Oryctolagus cuniculus: one gene and its partner. The protein of the gene in region 2 interacts with the protein of the main gene of each other region in a biochemical or structural test. Links are inferred from orthologs where the notes say so. Each region holds a gene or a part of one and is shown on either strand. Other genes may lie near its edges.

Region 1 (4,295 bases), on a different chromosome or scaffold from region 2:
TTACGGATCTACTGTCAAAAATAGCTACAATTCAAATTCAAGGATATAGAATACATGTAAAGAGAAATTAAAGGCTAAATGGTGTTTAAATAAATGATCGGCATGTGTTGCTCTACAAGTAGACACCTACTCTTTGTTAGTGCCAGATCACCTGGCTCCAATTCCTTCCTGACTCTAGAACTTACCTTGAGCTGTACATGGAAGGGGTCTTGGGAAAATTATTCTTCTCTGTGCCTCAGTTTCCTCATCTGTAAAATGAGGCTAACAGTATTTACCTCTCACTAGTTGTTATTAAGACTAATATAAAATGCTTAGAACAAATTGTGGCACACAGCAAATACTGTAATTATTATTTATTATTATTACTGTTTGATGCTACTTCATCGGTGATAAATAAATCAAACAGGTGTAGTCTACATTCCTGTTTATGTCATACAATATACGCTACGCCTGATCTGCACATGTGCACATTCACGCATGTGGTTAATCACCTTCTGTATCCCAGATGCTCATTTTAATTACTGAGTTGTCACAATACATCAAAGGCTGCATCACCACTTGCACTGTACAGATGAGAAAATGACAGACTAGATTTTCTATGTGCAAAATAAAAATTGGTAACAACACCATTTTTTGAAAGCAGTATGTGCACAAAGCAGGGCTGGGTCTCAAATGTAACTGGAGAAAAGCAAATTGTCATAAAAAAAAAAGCAAAAGCTTTCATTTAACAATTTACAGTTTGTAAAAAAGCTTCATGACCACACTAGAGATTAACTAAAATGCTGCAAATCATACTAAAAAATATTACCGCCTACATCTGAAGTGCATTTACCTGGTTCCAATTTCAATACTCCTTTGGTTTCTGCACCTACAGCCAAATGGGCAAGATGCACATTTCGCAGTGGCTCAGATCTCCGGAGACGCTGCCTAGGAACTAGCACCATGGGAATCTGCTCAGCCTGGTTTCAGAAAGGCTGCCTCCCTGATCCAGGGAGATCCAATTCTAAAATGGCTTCACCATAACACAAGCACTGCATCATGGGAAATGTACACAAAATTACAGGGTAGGAGCCATACTCCAGGGGCTTACGGTCCATAAATATTTGCTACTGATGAATAAGGATATTCAGTGTGAAGCTAAGTGTGTGGGCTAGGCCAAATCACCTTTCTCATACAGACTTCATCTGTAAGATGGGTGACTGACTTATCTCATTGAAGGCAGATGGGAAAATAATCCAGCCATTGCTACTGGATTTGCAGCCACCCATTTTGAAGGCCAAGCTTAAAATTCCAACTTGGACCTGACAAAACTGACCAGTTTTTATACTCTCCATACTATGTGCTGTTAGAGACATGGGTCAGAAAAAATGAGGGCTCAGATATCTAAAATATCCCTGAGAAAGAAATGGCGTGCACTGGAAGCAATGAAGAAATTCACTACCGAGCAATATTTCTATACATACAAAATTCCAACAGGAAGATGCAGAAATCTCAGTGGCCACGTGTCCATTTCTACATCACTGTATATGGTGTGTGCCTCCATGTGGACCATTCAGACAAAGTAATCAGTGCAAGGAACCTTCAGCTTCCCAGCGCTCCATTTCTCCCTCGTGGCTCCTGTAGCCAGCCGATTTTCTATGTTCGCAACATCATCTTGCCAAATTCCAGCTCCCACACAGGGCAAGGAAAATCAGAGCCTGATGCCATCCAGCCTTTACCAAAGAGAACTGCAGCAAAGGCAAGGACAAGACGCCATGTATTTTTACAGAAAGGTTGGCAAACTGTCTTAGCCAATGCTGCCACCTTTGAAAACTCCATTACATGCGAGTTCTCCATTTGCAATAGGCAAAAATGGACTCAGCTTCTATAGAAAAGGAGTCGAGCGTTCTCATCCCTTCCCCCGGCTACCAGGGAAATTCGGGACTGAAAAACGTGCTCTCACACACAGTCAGGGGGAATCTGGGCCGAGGACACGAAACACTCGGGCGTTAAATGACGGCGCATGCCCTGGGAAAATATTCCCAACACCAGCTGGTGGCTTTTTTCCCCTGGAGATCCGGCCTGACTCAGACATCGGTCCCAACAAATGCATTTTCTTGCTTCAAACCTCCGACCTGATCTTCCCAGGGAATCTCGGGTCCTGCCGGGCTCCGTACCCAGCGGAGGATGATGAAATGGCTTTGCTGCAAAGTGGGTGGGGGTTTCCCCCCTGCTGTCTCCCAAGGTTAAACCCCTTACTCATCCAGGGGTAGCCAAGCAGGGGCACCGGGGCGCAAGAACTCGCCTGCGTTTGCTTAAATTTTAATTTTTGGAAGCCGGAAAGCCCCAGAGCCGCAGTGACAGGGCTGAAAAGGGTAGTTCTCGCCGACCGAGGCGCAGGGAGGGGTCGCGCCGGGGATAAAAGCCCAGCCAGGAGGGAGGGGCCGGGGCCAAGGCTCAGCCGTCCCCGACCCGCAGTACCGAGCCGCACCCTGCCCGCCTGGCAGGGCCGCCGGCGGCGCGGGAGGCCCGGGCTTCTGCAGGCGAAGGGCCCGGCCCCGGAAACAGGGAGGGGCCGCGGCGAGGTCGGGCCCGCGCCGCAGCCGGCAGCCAGGGCCGCGGCAGCCGCGCACCGCCACCCCCGGGGGCTCACCCGCAGGGCCGACATCGCAGCCGCGGGCTGAGGGGGACCTGGAGCGTGGGCCCCTGGGGGCCCCGGGCGGGCCCGCGCCGCACTCACCGTGGGAGGGCTGCAGGGGGCAAAGAGGCTTCCGAGCGAAGCTCCGAGAGCGGCGACCGCTTCCTTCCCAAGCCTGCTCCTCAGGCAGCGGCGACGGCGGCTGCAGGGGCGGCAGCGGCAGCAGCTAACCAGGCTCCGGAATCGGCGGCGGCGGTGGCTGCAGCTCCACTTCCGCTCCGGCCACCGCTTCCGCTTGGCTCAAGCCCCGCCCCTCCCTGCGCCGTCTTCTCATTGGGCAAGTGAGGCACGGGGTTGCCCTGGCCGCCCGAGAGGGGCGCTGACGGCAGGGAGGAGGAAGAAGAGCCCAGTGCAGGGCCGCAGCGGACCGGGGCGGGCGCAGGGCCGGGAGAGGTAGCAGGGAGGAGGCGGCCGAAGGGGAAGGAAGTGGGGCGGGGGGACGGGAAGAGGAGGCGGGAGGAGAGAGGGCGGAGATGGGGGTGGAGGTCCAGAGATGGGATGTGTGGGAACAGGGAGGACTCGGGTGGGGGAGCGCCCGCGCTGCTTAGGTTGGAGCCTGGGCAGGGCCAGGCACAGCGATTCCCAGGGTGCAGGTTCCCACGCCACCCCGGAAGTAGTCCTCCCGGGGGTCGGAGCCCCAGCGCACACACCCTTTGGCTGCGTGCTGTGCGAATAACTGGACCTCGGAAGACAGAAATTGCTCGTCCCCCCGTTTTCGGTTTATCCGCCTTTCTGTACTTAAGGGACTATCTCCTGCCCTCATAGCCTGAAGAGGCCACGTGAAGGTCTTCTGAAAAAAACCTGTGCACATGGTTTCTTCATTGAGGAAGCTGCAGGGAGGCGCACGGGGCCGCGTGGCCCCTCACCCTCTCTGGCCTCTCACCTGTTCATGCTGACAGATGCGGAGCGGGTTTTCCGCTTAGTGCTGGAGAGACAGCAATACACAGGAGAGAGGGGGCCCTGCTCCCCTGGGAGTCTGGCGGCAGAAGAAAAAAGTACCTGGGTCGCGTTGCTGTCATCTCTCCCTTACCCTTATTTAGTTAATGATAGAGATCTAATTCGCCACACCATGCCCAGCCCCGCCTCTATCAGCTGCCTACTGATCTAAAAATGCAGGTGTAGCAGTTACGGTGGGGGGCACCCAGATTCCAGCTTCTTGCTAAGTCCCACCCTGGGAGACGGCAGGTGATGGCTCCAGCAGTTGGATCCCTGCCATTCGCCTGGGAGACATGGTTTGAGTTCCTATTCCTGGCTTCTGCCTGGGCTGGTCTGGCCATTTGGGGAGTGAACCAGTAAATGCGAGTGCTCTTTCTCAAGTATATTTTTAAAAAATGTTTAATGCCATTCTAATCATGTTCTGTCCCTACTTAAATCCTTTGCTGATCACTCAGACCTTGAAAACTATCAATAGTAAGTTCCTTGAGTGTTACAATCAAGGTTTTCCAGAAGCTCCCCTTACCCATACATAACCCATCGTAAATACCCTAACCCCGTTGGATGACTCCTTACCCCCCAGCGGGACTATTTCTAAACAGTTTGAGTTGGCAGTGTTTTCGAAAGCAGAGATTTCCGGCCATCGCTGCCTTCTCTGGCAACACTTGGCCGAAGCCGGGGAGTG
Region 2 (4,323 bases):
GAGACGGGAGCGCCCCCTCCCCCGCACTCCGAGCCCAGCAGACCCCAGACTCCACGGGCCGTCCCCGCCCGCCCCGCGCCTGGCGCCGGCACATTCCGTCCTCTCGCCGCCCCGGCCCCGTGGGGACGGAAATGTCCCGTCCCCGCCCGCTCGGGCCTAGCAGCCCGGCAGGACGCGAGTGCAGCGTCCCCAGACGCCTCGGGAACCGGCTCGCCCGGCTCCCCCCCGTGACCTCACCTGGCCCCGCCCTCTCAGGTGAACGGCGGGCCTGGTGACGTCACTTCCTGCCAGGTAAGCGCCGCAGGGCGGCTGGGCTCTCGCCCCCTCCCCGCCCCGGACAGCACAAAGGCCAGGGTTCCAGTTTACACGCCGGTTCCTTTTATTTAAAAATTCTAAAACACAAAAATAGACTTTTAAGGTAACAATATATATTACTTAATATATTATTATAGCATACTTAATAATTATACCAGTTTCCAATATTACAAAAAAGAGGAGGAAAAAATACAAAGGAAGCAGACGACTCAATATATATAAATACTATAAAACCTTATTAGAATAAATAAAGTCGTCATAAATAAAGGGCCCGTCGGTTGGGGGAGGGGTTTGGCAACGGCTTTGCTTGCTTGTGGAGGGAAATTTGAGCACCAGGAGTCTCCCTCGGGGAGGCTCCACTCACCACCAGACGCTGGGACCTCAGGAAGAAGTGGGAGGGGGCGCGCAGGGGGCTACTATTCACAGCACATGAGATTCCAGGAGATTCAGACGGGGTGCAGGTCGGGGGGGACGGGGCTCACTGTCTCCCTCCAGTATGCTACATCTTCAAAGAACCCCAGAGAGCACTCTGTCCCCCAACACCGTGAACACTGAGCTTGCACACCGGGGACCTGCCCCAGCGTGGGGTCAGGGGTGAAGTTAATGCATTTTGGAATGCGGGGGAGGGAGGGACCCACTTGAATGAATTAGGATCCCTTCCCCACAGGCCCTGGGCCCAGCGGAACCCACGGCACACCGCGGCGCCCCTCTATCCAACGGATCTCCGTCACTCAGACACGGAGATGCGGTTGAAGATGGGGAGGCGCCTGGGGGCTGCAGGCGGCTGGGGTGGCCCGAAAGCTCCCGTCTCGAAGACAGGAGAGTCGGACCCCCCCAGGCTGCTGCCGCTGCTGGCGTACTCATCCGGGTCTGAGCCCAGGGAGTGCGCCGAGGGGCTCCGGGCCAGGCCACCCAAGGGCCCCCAGATGCTGACAGGGTTGGCCCGGCGGCAGGAGGGGCAGCAGGCGGGCGTGGGGTCCCTTCGAGCCACGGGGGTCCCAGGGGCGGCAGAGAAGGCCGAGGGTGAAAGCGGAGCGTCCCCCGGTGGGGGCGGGGAGCTGGGTGGCGAGAAGGAGCAGGAGGACAGGGAGGGGCCTGCGAGGCCCGGCGGCGGAGGCGATGTCCTGCGGCCGGAGGGCAGGCCGGAGAAGCTCACGCTCTGGCGCAGCACGTGGGGGTGGCCGGGGGCGGCCAGGTCCTCGCTGGGGTTGTGGATGAAGTGGCAGCGGGAGCCGTAGGGACAGCGGCCCTGGAGGTAGAACTTGTGGCAGAGTTCAGTCTTGTACTTGGGGTGGCGATTGGCTTGGCGCAGCTCGCCCAGGCCATGGGCAAACTGGCATTTGGCGCCGTAGCGGCAGCGTCCACTCTCCGAGAAGGTCCGACACAGCTCAGTCTTGTAGCGGGAGGAGGTGGTGGGGGTCGCCGTGGGCGAGGTGGGCGAGGGCGCCAGCTCCGGGCCCGGGCGGGGAGCCAGGGGTGCGAAGCCAGGGGGTGGCGGCACCCAGCCGCAGCTGCGGCCCTCTACCAGGCTGGTGGAGCGGCCCGGCAGGCGAGAGGTGATCCCAGCCGGGCCCCAGAGTCCCGAAGGATCCGTCCCTCCGTGGTCGGATGGGGGGTCAGGGTGCAGCGACACGAGGCTCTGTGGGAACAGGGATCGGGTTAGGACACCCGCAGACGCAGGGCGAGGCGCGCCCCAGCTGCAGGGCACTTCAAGACCTTGCCAGGCCGGTTTGTGGGCTCCCGGCCGGAGCCCCACCCGCCCACGGCAACCGGGATTTCCGGAACCCAGCGGCGATCCCGGTTCAGGGGCTCTGCGTTGAGCCACGGCTGGAGGAGGAATCCCAGCTTCCCGGGAGGATCAACAGGGGACCCTAAAGTCAGGTCCCCAACTTGGAGCCGCTGGGCCTTCCCGGATATGAGGAGCGCAGCGGGTTAGTTCTCCAGTTTCACAACGGGAGGAGCCTGGCAGAGCCAACTCGGGAGTCTGGTCTTTGGGGTTTGAGTTCCCGGAGAAGGCGGGTCGAGGCGTCAGAGGCAGAAGTCGGCTTCCCCGCCCCGAGACTCAGCCCCAAAAACGCCTCCGCGCGGCACCGCGCCCTCGGCGACTACGAGGGGTGAGCCAGGTGCGGCGCCGTTTCCGCCTCCGACCAGCCCTGGTCTGAGCAAAGTTTCCCAGCGGCCACTCCACGGGGCCCCCACCCAAGTGCCGGCCGGGCCGAGAGCCGGCAGGCGGGGGCTCCATTTTTACTTCCCACCCCCCACCCCCGCCCCCCGATAATCAGGTCGGTCCGGAAAAGGCAGCCGGGGGCCGGGGTCGGAGGGTGTAGCGCAGAAGAGCCCCCCCCCCCAGCTTGGCAGGGAGGCTAGCGTCCCGGCGCTGGGGAGTCCGGAGGGGACTCACCTCGTAGATGGCTGTGAGATCCATGGCGGCGCGTTTGGCCCTGAGGGATCGGCCCAAAGTCGGAGCGCTGAAACCAGGCTGCGGCTACCCGCGACAGACACCTTCTTATAGGGCAGTGGGGGCGTGGTCGAGAGGGGCGGGCCCAGGGCGGGGCGGGGCCAGGAGGGGCGCTTCCCGGACGCGCGCCCCCGGCGCAGCCCGACGGGCCCTGGGCTAGTCCCCTTCCGCCCGGCTGCCGGCCAGGACGGGGCCTGCGCGCGGCGGGGCGGCCCGGAGGGGAGTGCGTGGGGTGGGGCGCGGGGCGGGAAGGGCGTCTGCCTGCCCAGGTTTCAAGGCTAGAGACGGAGGCCGGAGAATGGAACTGGGACACGGGTGGGGGCAGGGCTGCCGGAGCAACTGACAAGGGCAGAGGCCGAGAGGGCCTGCGCGGCTGACGGCGCGGGGGGTGGGCAGAGGAGAGAAAAAACCGACGAGAAGCAGAGGGAGGGACGGGCTCACACAGCGAGCCAGAGGCCGGCAGGTAGCTGGAAAGGGAGAGACAGGGAGGAAGAGACCCGGGGTGTGTGTGGGGGTGGGGGGGGGAACATGGGAAACAGACGTACACAGGGAGTCGCAGGGACACAGAGACAGGAAGGCATAACGCTGAGAGAAAGGGAGAGACACGCAGAGCCGTGCTGAGAGAGGGTGAGATGGAGGGAGGCGCAGGGAGAGACACCAGAGGTGGAGAGACACAGGCAGAGATTCTACACCGAGGGAGGAGACGACCCCCCCAGAGAAGTTCTGAGGCGGGAGCGGTGCGAGCGAGGGGGGGGGTCGCAAAGAACCCCCAAGAGGAAGAATTAACAAAGAAACAACACCCCCCCCCCCAGGCCCAAAGTCCACTCTGGCCAAGTGCAGGGAGGGAAACCATTCTGCCTGATAGGGCATTCCCTTCTCTGACACCTGCTGGGGCAGCTCCGCCTCGCTCCCAAACCGGAGACCCAGGCCTGGGAGCCGCCGTCATCGAGAGGGGGTGGGGTCGCAGACACCCGCGGGGGCACTCAGGGCTGTCTCCGCTTTCCACGCGCTCACACTGCCGGACACCCACGTCAGGTCACCCTCGCAGGCCCCCAGCCCGGGAGCAGCAGCCGCCCGGCCGCGGGGCCTCTGCCGGACGGCGCCCAAGATGGGACAGGTGGGCGGGCCCTCGCTCCTGGGGAAGACCGCCTCGCCCGAGCGCTGTTTTGAAACGCAAGAAGTGGGTTGTCCCCAGGTGCGGGCCGGCCGGGCTGCGACCGCCAGGGGTGCCCGGGGAGAAGCCTCGGTTGCCCGGGCTGCTTCGCCATGTTGGCGAGTCTTTCATAATCAAAGCGCGGCCCGCAGTGAGAACTCTCGGCTAAGATCTGGGGGGGGTAGGGGGTGCTGGTTTACTTTCCCTCCCCCTCCCCCTCCCCAAGGGGGTCTCGGTGAGCTTGCTGCCCGGTGAAAACACGGGGTAGGAAGTCCTCGCCACGGCGGTCACAATGGCGCAAAGTTCACTGTTGGGGGCCGCGGGCCCGTGCCGAGGCGGGGAGATTCTAGCGGCCCCGGCGCGGCGGGGAATCCCTGTTGCGGCGCTCTCTGGGGCC

What was found.
Region 1: the proteins of ZFP36 (region 2) and YWHAB form a complex in vitro, tested with the Homo sapiens proteins (2 studies listed by BioGRID). The link is inferred for Oryctolagus cuniculus from reciprocal best matches to the Homo sapiens genes ZFP36 and YWHAB.

The regions. Positions count from the first base shown.
Region 1 is NC_091442.1:14,271,359-14,275,653, forward strand, and holds the start of YWHAB (14-3-3 protein beta/alpha), read right to left. Parts: upstream 2,856-4,295; 5' UTR 2,720-2,855; intron 1-2,719. UniProt on the Homo sapiens protein: Adapter protein implicated in the regulation of a large spectrum of both general and specialized signaling pathways. Binds to a large number of partners, usually by recognition of a phosphoserine or phosphothreonine motif.
Region 2 is NC_091449.1:15,543,467-15,547,789, forward strand, and holds ZFP36 (mRNA decay activator protein ZFP36), read right to left. Parts: upstream 2,877-4,323; 5' UTR 2,741-2,876; coding exon 2,717-2,740; intron 1,955-2,716; coding exon 1,043-1,954; 3' UTR 356-1,042; downstream 1-355. UniProt on the Homo sapiens protein: Zinc-finger RNA-binding protein that destabilizes several cytoplasmic AU-rich element (ARE)-containing mRNA transcripts by promoting their poly(A) tail removal or deadenylation, and hence provide a mechanism for attenuating protein synthesis.